2 linked regions of the Arabidopsis thaliana genome follow. The protein of the gene in region 1 interacts with the protein of each later gene in a pairwise test. Each region holds a gene or a part of one and is shown on either strand. Other genes may lie near its edges.

Region 1 (4,442 bases):
ATCTGTCTTCTTGTCGTTCTCTCCAATTTTCTCTTAAAGAAAGTGTCTTCTTTTTTTCTTAATTAACCTCGCAACTAAATTAAAATAAACTTTGGTTGGTTATCAGAACCGATTTGTTTTTTTTTTTTTGTTTTTTTAATACAAACAAAACATTCAGCAGACCTGATTTTTAAATTAACGGACCTTTCATATAATTTCAACTACAAATCTAAAACATAGAATAATTTATAAAACGATTTTGAAGAAGGCAAAAACTCGTCTTTATAAAAATAATAATGCTATAGCTCAGAAAGCTATGACTCGGAAGTCTTCATCTTCTTTTCTTGTATTCACTGATTTGACGTTAACGTATAAATTTTCAGACAATATCTCCATGTTAAAACAAAAATATTGCTTAGGATACTTGTTATGTGAGAGTAAACTACATATACATTGCAACGTCTAGACAAGCTTATAGACAACGTGCAATGTCTTGTAACTCTCAAAACCATATATATAGACTCTCACTAATGTATTTCTTGGTTACTATACTATTTAGAAGAAAACAAATTTCTGCTCCCAACTCGATCACAAATCATATATATTTTAAAATATGCATTTAACGATCTCGACAAAATTATGTGAATTTTTTTTTAATAAAAAACATTAAAAAATGTCTCTATTATTTCCTTAATTATGGGTCTTGTCACAAGTATGCAACGAATGATAAACAACAATACAGAACCGTCTTCCATCAACAAGTACCACAAGATCTCACTTAGAATATACGTATATAAGTTGTTATACATATTCACAGAGTGAGATCAAGGGGACTTGCCAAGACCGAAATCTTTCTCTTTTTGTGATCAGTTTGATCTTCTTTCCTAATGGTTCGGTCGAGTTTTGATGAACCTGAAGATGATAACGAAAGAGACAAACTCTTGATATCTTGATGATCATCATGTTCTTTTACTTCATCTTCTAACAAGCATTCTCCAAGATTGTCGTGTGTCCGAGGTACCTTAAGGGACAAGCTTAGATCCAAATCTTGGTCTGACTTATTGCAGTCATCAGAAAATAATAACCTCTTCCTCTTCAAAACATTCTCTGATCCTTCTGCCACTCCAGCATTCTCCCATTGATAAGAATTTAGCGTTGTAGCAATATGATCTTGTGGTATTGTTGCGGTGGAGGACTTAAGATTGGAAGAGAGGCTCTGTCCCCATGATTTGTTAAACGTTTTCATACCTTCAAGAAAACTTCTATGAATTCTTGGAACAGCTCCAGCTACTCCATTGTTATCATGAACCCCTTCATGAGAATTGATTCGAAATGAAATAGTTTTGTTCTTATCGTTAAGAATACTATTGCTAACTCCGTGATATCTCTCACCAGGCTGTGAGCTAAACATTGTTTGTCTTGTTCTTGTATTTTCTCGTGTCGTTAATCCTCTCCAAGGGCTACGGTAGATCTGTCGTCTGTGGTCAGTCCACGAACCACCACCATATCTATTGAATACATTCCAAGTTACACACACGTAATTTTAACTTATAGTTTAAAGATAGCTAGCTGAAGAGTTTGTAAATACCCTAAACTAGAAGAAGGCCTTTGATCAAAACTTTGTAGCATTGGAAGTTGGCTAAGGTTGTAAGTGTAACCAGCTCCGTGTTCAAACGAAAATCCTTGATCTCCTGTAGTTATAAGAAAAGATAAAACACGAGAGACAAGAATTAGTCAATTTCTCGTCGAATTCAATTATAAGATTTATAGAAGCCCTAACTTAAATCAGAAGGTAGAAGAAAGCTAAGTAAACTACCTTCATTAGGCTCATCGGTCTTCTTGCTTCTGTACATCTAAGAAGAAAAAAAAATGAAGTATGATTTCAGATGAAGATCTCAATGATGTATATAGATATATACTCTATGTGTATGTGGATATTTGCAAAACCTGAAGATGACTCTTAACATGGGCAATACTTAGCCCCTTGACGTTCATCAATTGGAGAACAAGCTTCGGTGTTGCTCCTGTTTCAACAAAATCATTGAAAGAGACCCCAAATAAATATCAACAAGAAAACCCTAGAAATTTAGAGATCTTCACATATGCAATGATCTTGATATTGATTCATATATATAATTGAAACTCAACTATCTGGGCCACCCAATCTCTCCACAGCTTGAAGAAAGCAAATATGGAGCTCCGGCGTCCATCGCAGCCTCGGAGTCTTTGAGCGGTTGTACGGCCTCACGGATCCTCCATTCTTCTTGTTCTGATCATGGTGGTGACTCCCACTCTCTTCCTCATAGCTATTGCTAGATGGGCTCTGATCTCCAGATCTCTCTTCTTCATCCTCTTCGCCTTCTTCATCATCCTCTTCATCTTTATCTTCTTCATTCTTGGTGGTTGCTTTGATGTTGTTAGATAGACAAGTCTTGGAGTTTTCAGAATTTTGGCTGCTTGATCTCATCTTGGTCTCTAGCTATTTGGCTGTTTTTGTGTTGTTTGTTTTGAGGTTGAACCTTTTTGGTCTATCTTGGAGTTCTCTGGACAAAGATCAAACAAAGATCACACACTCATACATATGTGTTAGGAATTTAAGGTGAAGACTTTTGATGGTCTATGTGTATGACTTTTTGGATGCTTGTATCCATCATTCCTTTTTCTCCCCCTCTCTCTCCAACTCAACATATATGTTGAAATATGTATATGATGGCAACGGATATTCTAAATTCTATTTAATATATAGCTTTTTATTACACCAATGGTTTTTTCTACAGTTATATACATCTTAGGGAAAGATAGATCTAGAATTACACCTCATGACAAAAATGGTACTTTTAATTTCATTAAACATTAGTAACTTCAGTCATAAGATGTATTTTAAAATGAGTTAATAACTATTAAGTCAATTAGTACAATTAATCTTTGAATCTCGTTGTGATAGGGAGTGAAAAGAAATTCCAAGGAGTAGATTGAATTTATCTAAATAATGATCATTTTCATGGTAAAAGATCAAACGTTTTCATGATATCAACCCGTACGTATACCAATTTTATGACATAAATCAGGGTTCAATATGACATGTACATTAACAATTTTTTTTGTTCTTTCTTTCAAAACCAACTGAAGATCTATGTTTTTCATTGGATTTGGTACGTGTTTTTGTTTCATTCGAACTAGCTTTTAGCAATATAGGAAGAAGGCAACATTAATGAGGCATACACATTAATTAGATAAATGAAACTTCTTCCATCGTTACAACTCATGAATTAAATTGACTAGAAAAGCAAAGCATAAAAGGGGATGGTTAGGGGGATGGGCTCGTGACTTCAAAGCCAAAGCTGTGAAACCAGAAAAAGAAGAAACCCAAAAGCATAATTAGATAGATAGACAGAGAAAGAGCATAGAGAGAGGAATCAGACAGAAGTTAAAAGGTGCTTGGCTGGGCTGTCTTCACTGAAAGACACGAGAAGAAAATATTACTACTTGTTTCTGTCACCAACGACAATCACGGGTTTGTCTCCATCTCCACTACTCTTACGATTTCATATTATCTATAATTATCTACACATGCGCCTCTCTCTATATACATGCAAATAGTACATCTCTTTTTCTATATATAACCCAAATAAATGTTAAAAAATAAATAAATAAATTAGGATACAGAATATAACAACTGAAGCTAATAAGTCACATGATTATCACAGAATTGAACTTGAGAATTATATGAGTTTCTGTACGTACACACATGCAACCAATTGATTTAGTTTGGAATTCAGTTCAGGGGTGATTAGTTCGTTCTATATAGCGTACGTACTATTAAAATTACTAGTAAAATACTAAACAAAAGATATGTTCTAATTAAGTATGTCATACTTTTATTTTTGTGAAATTAAGGAAGTAGGCAAAGTAGGGGATGTCATACTTTTTTAAGAACTTAGAAAGGAGAAAATTAAAATGTATAATATATGATTTACTTATTGTCATGAACTTTGCGCCTCCAGGAGAGGGTCAAGGCAGAATTGTATCTATCTGTATTCCTCTAACATCAGCAGGCTAATTTTTCTTGTAAGCGACATGCAAGTACTGTGTCAAATTTTGTGAATGGTGACCAGATAATGTGAAAGTCATCGGTCAAATAAATTAGGTATATGACATTTCTTTCTGTTTTTTTTTTTTTTTTCAAAATCGTTTTTGGAAGCCCAATGTCCAGCCGTAATCGTATATTTTCGTCGTCGTTATTAATTGGTAGGAAGAATTAAAGCTGTCGTATATTTTGGTTTTAAAAGTGTAGCAATAATAATTTACGTTAGAATGACGTTCTTCATATCTACCCTATAATCCTACTTCCATGCTCAGACAACCCATGATCAATTATACGACCCAACAGATACCAAATGCTAAGTATTAATATCAATCACGGTATTGACAAAAAAAGGGTATATTAACTACGGTATTGATTT
Region 2 (7,584 bases), on another chromosome or scaffold:
TGGAATTGAAGATCAAGTATAATTTTTCACTTGAATTTGCATAAGGAAGAATTCATTAAAAGGTATGGAATACTTGTCTATATATATAATCTGCATCTTGATTAAAAACATAATAGTAAGAATCATATAACAAAAAGAAGCCAAACAATTTTCCCTAATTGCACTGTATTTGAGTAGAGAGACGATATATATGATAAAGAGGTCAAGCTGGCGGCTAACTAATCAACCTATTCTCTTGTTTTTGTTTTTGGTTTCCTTCATCAGTTGTTTTAGTATTATCCATCTTGCCGAGGACGGGCTAGCCAGAGAGAACTTAGAGCTTGAAGACGGTGGAAGTACTCCGCAACGGCTAGAAGACACCGTGCTTCTTGACGGGTCGTCAACAATTGGTTCAGCCTATGGATCGTTTGGTGCCTCAAATTATCCGCCTGTAAGTTTCTAATGTATTAGCTAGTTCAAAACTAAATAAGAGTTATAGGGAAAATGGAGAAATAGTAAAAGCAAAACAAAAGATGGACAAAGTAGTGCACATGTTATTGACTAAGACCAATTAAGGACAAATAATCGAATTGGACCATCATTAATCTCATAAATATAAGTATTAAAGACTAACTAGAGAGGAAAAAAACAGATAAAGGACTAATTAAGCATTATAATGATTGTGCATGACCCGAAATTATGTGGTTGATTGACGACTAATGCCGATTATTCAACATGTTGATCGATCAAAAAATCAAAGCTTGTTAGTAATTCACTAATAAGAACACGACACCAACATGTCAAAAAGGTGAAACCGTGAATTCCATACCCTCGGTCCCACGCCATGCTTCATGATACTTTTGATCATTAATTAGAATCATACATATATAATCAACCTATTATCAATGATATAAAAGTAGACAAAAAAATGCAGAATCAAATGTAAGTAAAGGAATTATTCTCAAGGAAGTGTTTTCGGAGGATGGGATACTTGGGCAGTTACGTCCATGACATCATGCAACGATATGGGCTCCAAGCATTCCATGTTTTTATTTGATGTGATATATTATAGATACATAATATATGTATTTTTCTTTTGGACTACATATATTGGAATATGTATACTTAATACATACTTTCATGGTGCCAATTGTCACGTGCGTTTAGAGAAAATTGAATTCATTACCCCTTTTTAGTAACTAACCCCACATTTACCACCTATTTTAAAGTTGGATCTTTCTCCAAATTGTGAGCGACTAACCGTGTAGCGAAACACAAAAACTTTTTTTATAGGCGGAACAGGAACAATTTAGAACTAATTATATTAAGAAATCATTGAAAGATGCCAACTTGTATATGCATGTATCTTGTATAGAATTAATTAGCCGAAATGTCCATTTGCATATAGAGTATAGACTTATACATTAATATACACAAGCAGATATATATATTTCTTTGTTTCAAAAACTTGCCTGTCCTAAACTAGTAAATGATTAAGAAATAAATATTAAATTAATAAACTTGGTCGTCTAAGAAAAGCAACCCGACCAAGTTGATATAAGACAAGAGAAGTGTTTGTTAGATACCTACTTGCATAATGTCCGAATCAAGAGGCAAATACTTTCCATTTCATATACATATACATGTTAATGCATAATTATTAAGTTTGCGAATTAGTTTTGACATCTTCTTTAAAATCAACCACTTTTATTCTATATACACTTAATATATTACAAATGTCCTCTAACAAATTATGGCCGACGTTATACCTATATATGAGTTGTACACAAAACAGACACACACATATATACAAACATCTATATAAATTTAGATAGCGTGTTATAACAGCCAAATATAGAAATATATAAGTATATGATAGTTGAGTTTAATAAGGAGTAGTTCAAAGAAACAGAATATGTATTCCTAGTCTGATTAGGACCACATATATCCTCTAGGGGTCCACTTGTATATCAACTCTATAGGTATATTTTTATATAAAGATAAAAGATTGGTATATTGATATATAATTGCACATAAACTTAAAAAGAAAGAGTTATAAGGGTACCTGGAGAACGAAGCCCTCGAGAGCAGAGAGCTTGTTGAGAGCTAAGGACATGTGTGACATGAAATTGGATAGATGAGGAGGAAGTGGTGCGGAGGCAGGCGGGAGGGAGTCAGAGACAATGCTATCGGAAAGTGATTGATTCAACGCCTCGAGGCCTTGCGAGAGAGCCTCCTCGGCCTCTTGTGTGGACTGTTGCAGCCCACATATCCCAACTATCTGTTGCTCCGTCAATGGTTCTATCTGGTTCACAATCACCTGCATGCATGCGTTTCTAATTAATACACACAAGTTGAGATATCGAGGATTAATTAACAATGGTCTTAATGGATGCATAAAGAACGTTGAATGCATTAAAGTGTGTAGTGTATGTACTCTGCACGAGTTACTAGCTACACCCAAAATCTCTTCTTTCCTTTTTATTTTCACTAAAAAGGATATAAGATTGAGACATTGCCAAAGGTCTTGTCAGATATGCACACCATCCATATATTAATTTGTATTATTAATCGGCTATCGTAGGTACTCATATTGTTTAGAATAAAAAGTAGGTTTAATTAAAATGGCTTTACGTAACCATTTTAGAAAAGAAAAAAAATGATAATCATCCAATTGACGAGCGTGCTAAAAATGTTAAACAATTATTTATTTTTGGTTTGTTTATTATGGTCGTCTCTGTTGAATTCCATGGTGGTTTATGTCTATCTCTCTCTCCTATGGATCCCATAAATCGAAAAAACAGACAGGCACTTTCTTTTGCATTATGCCAAAACCTACCTATTTCTAGAGATACTTCACCATCACACACAATTGCATGCATTCTTAATTTGTTTTCAAAATAATTTTACGTGTACCTTTATTATTGTCGTAATATAAAGACATTCACGTATATATGTTGGTTTTATACATCTAGAGTCACCCCATGCAATGTTATGTATATATATACCTCGTCCAACAATATCACTATATAGTCTATCTCTTGTCTGTCTTATCTATTATTACTATATCGTACCTCTTTTACGAGAATCAAAGACTAAATTAAAAAAAAAAATCTAAATAATAAAATAAAGTTGGAAGTACTATATTCTGTGGACATATATGTACGATATAAATAATAACAATGTCACAATTTCAGTCATTATTAGTATATGTTCTGCAAGTAATCCACAAAATTGATGGTATTAATGATTGTATCCTGGAATATTTTAGGTTCTAAGATAAAATTTAAAATGATTAGTCTTCAAGTAAAATTCCAAAATTTAGATTTATTAATCCATATTTGATTAGTTTACAATATCATCATGACTAATTATTGTGTGGGATGTGGCTCGAATAGAATAAGTAAATATCTCTCGAAAAACCTAAATATATGTATATGGCTATAAGAAAAGACGAGATGTACCTTAATGATCTCCGATGGACGGAAACCACCCATCCACAAGAAGCAACGTTCAGCTGGAGTTTTCCATGCTCCAGAAATGAGGTGGAAGACATCGGTCTTAGCGACCATAGCCTTGAGGTTAATCAAATGGTCATAATGAGCTAAACATGTGTCCACAAACATCCTAAGCTCGTTCTCGGACAAGTGTTCTTGTGTTGCCACCCTTAGTTCGTTTAATAGCCTCTGCTGCTCCTCCAGCCACCTCGCATATTCCATATCGAACACCGCTGCTTCTGCTTCACATTGCATTTACTCAATATCTCATTCTCTCGGTTTTCAAATTTTACGGTTTTTGAGTCATCACATTTATGAAACTATTAACGTACCAGAGCTGATGTTGCCAGGGCCAATGGGTAGTCCACCTTGCTGTTGATCTCCTCCTATAAGAGACCCTCCAAAGAATACGCCCTAAACATATATAGGAAATCAAATTAAATTGGTACATTTTAGACTTTAGGTTAAATACAATATATATGAAAAGACAGGTTCAAATATTTACTTGGGATCTGGCCCGTTGAATCTCTTGTTCTAGTTGGGTCAGTTTGATCCTACATGACTCGAGTTGCTGAACATAAGCCTGTCGTAATTTACCAAAGCAAATAACGTTATAAATAAATTTGGATATAAAAACTATATTTGCAACTTACAAATATTGAATGCTGACCTTTTTACGTAATCTGCTTTTTCTTGCTGCTTCTCTGTTTTGTGCTAGTCTTCTCAATGTCTGTTGAGAATTAAATTAATAAAGAAACTATCAAAAACCGAAAAGTAAAAAAAAAAAAAAAAAAAAGAATCTTATTAATTTTCTGCAGTTGTATGAATATACACTCACTTTAGGGTCTGACGATTTAGGTATGTCATGGTCCGATGAGGCAAGACCCTTGCGGTTCCCTTCCTTCTGCCATAACATTTAGATATGACCCATTAACTTCTAAAAACAACCACAACAAGTCTATATCTATACTCGAGTTATAGTTCGACAAAGCAATTAAATGATTAAAAAAACATAAATGGATAGAGACCTTGATGGATTTAGAACCTTGAGGAGGTTGATGAAACTGAGAATGATTGGTCAAGTCCATGGACGGGTCAGAAGCTGGTCGAGTGGAACCACTAGGTTGAGCAGCCGGAACTAATCTTGTATTATCGGTCTTACCAAACACATTATATAAAACAACCAAAAAACAATCAAATCACTACTCAATAGAAAAATAAGAAACGTATAATAATTGGTCTGACTTGATATTATATGAAATGGCTAGTAGTTGCGCTGACATTATATTAAATTAGAAACAGAAACCAACTAAAATTGGCATATATATATAGAAATTTATAAAGTAATAGTAATAATTATTACATTGTGTGTAGAAGAAGGAGGTGGCTCTATGTGCATAGGCTGAGATGGAAAGATGTTGAGCGTCGATGTTGGAGGTCTCATCGCCAAATTCTCTGCCATAAGATGAGTCATGTGACCATATGTATGAGAAATGGTCTAGTTATAACAAGTCATGTATATAAATATGTGAGCGGACTAGTTCTTCTAATTAGAAGAAAAAGGACAGAGAGAGAAAAGGGTTTAAAGAAGTGTAAGATATATGGATTTGAAAGATTTGGTGTCTGAAAAGAGAGAGGATCTGGTCAAAGCTGAAAGAATAGAGTACTGATGGCAGAAGAAAGATTGAAATCTGTTTGGCATGCTTTTGCTGTGACTCTCTCTCTCTCTCACACACCTAAAGGGAATCTTCCTTATCTGCTGAAACCAAAAAAACAAACCCCAATTCCCAAAAAAGAAAGAAAAGAGAGAGAGAGAGAGTGCATACGAGTTGTGTGATGATGATGTAAAGGAGAAGGAGCAGTTGATGGAGGATCATGATGTCCTTGTCCATCAAGATAGAGGAAGAGTGATGGGTCTATCTCTCCAATATCATACCCATCTTTGTTCCTGCACACATAAATTAAAGCTCTCTTATTAAAAACATGGGGATCATCAATCAATTCAAAAAGTTATTAAGTGAGTAAAAATTACATGAAGTTTCCATGGGAAGACGTGGCGGAGGATGATGATAAGTGTTGATGATGATTCTGGTGATGACCTTGCATTTGATGATGATGAAGAGAAGTCTATATATAGGATGATGTTTGAGAGAGCGTGTGATATGATAGTAACAGCAGAAGATGATGAAGAGAGATAGATTTTGATCTTCGATCTCTCTTATGTTGGTCTTCTCCTCTGAGGCAAGCTGATGATATATGATGATGATGACGGTGCTTTGATCACTAGCTAGAGAGATGATGATATACCTTCTTTTAATTCTTGTATATTATTTTCCTTTCTCTATATTCTTGGAAAGAGATAGAGATTATGTAACGGAGCATTTAAAGCTCCTTTGGTGTTTTTTTCAGAAGAGAGAAGAGAGGTCGGTTATATTGAAGTGGAGAGGGTTCAAAAACTTAAGAAGGATATTGGAGAGAAAAATAGAGATTGGAGAGAAGAACCTAAAGACAAACTCCTTTTTATTTTCTGATATTTTTGTTGTATAAGTTTCTTCTACCTTAAAATATTAGAAGACGACTTTGTTTTTATTTTTGTATGAAACCAAGAAAAATATTCTGATAAAGCGGTCAAGAACATGTCCTTTTCCATCCCCTCTCTCTTCTTCTTCCTTCTCTCTAGTCACATTGCTGATAACAAACTTGTATAAATATTTTTTGTTTGTTCTCTAAATTATTATTATTATATTTCTCCTATATATATTATTCAGCTATTAGATTTTTACTTTAAGATATACTTTTCAATTCCATCATCTATATTATTATTATAAGATTTTTTATTCGATTTTTAATGATCCATTAACCGCTCTTACATTCAATCTATAAACACTAGACATTATATGAAACAAGTTAAAAGTCATTATTATGTGATTTATGAACTTAGATTGTCAAATATATTGATTGAATTTTGTTTGTATCTCTAACTGTTCCATTGTACTTTGTTTGAATGGGCACTAATATGGTCTAGGTTTTGTTTTTGTTAAGCTAATTGGTTTGATCAAATTGAGCTGGTAAACTAATTTTGATTTCTTTCCCATCATTCACAAAATATTCATACAAATAATTTCCTCAAAATAGTTTTAACTTGTAAAGAAAAAAAAGTTTAAAATCTGTAGACTAATCCGTAAAGGTAAAACCGACGTTACTAGATAGACCAGTTTATGTTAACCGCGGTAATGGACCATCCAACCAACCCATATAAAACCAATAAACAATTTAATCTGCCGCGGACCGGAGTAAATTGGTTCGGTTAGTTCAATAACCGGATTCGAGATATTTGATGAGACCAATGAAATTATGCGTTCTTCTGTAGCAAACTCTTGAGACTCCAAAACGTTAAACTGTGTGAGACTTCGGAGATAAAATTTCCCAGAAAGCGTGAAAGGTTAACCGGAAGAAAATGCCGTCACAAGATGATGTTCAAAATCTTCCAATCGATATCACCTTCTCTCGTCTCGGAGGTAATGCAGAACTATCAATTACGAGTACACGGAATTTTAAATTTTTATATCTCTTTGGTTTTTTTTTTTCGTTTTCTTCGTTGGATTCGAATCTGCGTTGGTGATTATTGTCTTCATTTGATTTCAATTTTGTTGAATTTGAAGAATGGTTGGTGGATCGGAAGAGAATTCCGGCGGATTGGAGGAAGAGGGTTGCTGTGATCAGAGTCAAAATCTTAAAAGAGTTCTCTTCTTTGCCTAAAGAGATCGATCCATTCTTTCAAACCCTAGATCCTGAAGGTTTTAAATTCTTCAAATTTTGTTCTTTTATCAGTTTGGCGAATTTTCAAACCTTCAAAACGAATTCGTCTTAAATTGCGTTTTGGTTCACTGCTCTCATTTATAACTTAAAGTGTTAGTATTTTGTTTGAAAATGCCAAAGAGATTTTATTGGCATCTTTGTGAACACCGTAAGCTTGTTTGTTGTTTGGTTATGTCTGATGATTGATTAGGAGGAGGGCCTTACTTGGTTGTATTCTCATTCAAGTTTAATGTTGTTTTGCTTCCAGTGATCGGTTACTTGGAGGTCAAAAAGGTGTATGAGATTCTCC

Evidence for each region. The genes of interacting proteins can lie anywhere in the genome.
Region 2: the proteins of AT2G40260 (region 1) and TGA10 interact in a two-hybrid assay, tested with the Arabidopsis thaliana proteins (one large-scale study listed by BioGRID).

Annotation. Positions count from the first base shown.
Region 1 is NC_003071.7:16,816,028-16,820,469, forward strand, and holds AT2G40260 (Homeodomain-like superfamily protein), read right to left. Parts: upstream 2,704-4,442; 5' UTR 2,447-2,703; coding exon 2,128-2,446; exon of another isoform or gene 2,004-2,127; coding exon 1,927-2,003; intron 1,833-1,926; coding exon 1,796-1,832; intron 1,671-1,795; coding exon 1,568-1,670; intron 1,488-1,567; coding exon 791-1,487; 3' UTR 503-790; downstream 1-502.
Region 2 is NC_003076.8:2,118,909-2,126,492, reverse strand, and holds TGA10 (bZIP transcription factor family protein), read right to left. Parts: upstream 6,022-7,584; 5' UTR 5,583-6,021; coding exon 5,509-5,582; intron 5,425-5,508; coding exon 5,303-5,424; intron 4,932-5,302; coding exon 4,840-4,931; intron 4,634-4,839; coding exon 4,505-4,633; intron 4,381-4,504; coding exon 4,315-4,380; intron 4,207-4,314; coding exon 4,147-4,206; intron 4,060-4,146; coding exon 3,982-4,059; intron 3,891-3,981; coding exon 3,809-3,890; intron 3,719-3,808; coding exon of another isoform or gene 3,716-3,718; coding exon 3,444-3,715; intron 2,300-3,443; coding exon 2,045-2,299; intron 429-2,044; coding exon 276-428; 3' UTR 36-275; downstream 1-35. Other genes in the region: AT5G06830 (uncharacterized protein), read left to right, coding at 6,934-6,994, 7,139-7,273, 7,543-7,584. UniProt on the Arabidopsis thaliana protein: Together with TGA9, basic leucine-zipper transcription factor required for anther development, probably via the activation of SPL expression in anthers and via the regulation of genes with functions in early and middle tapetal development.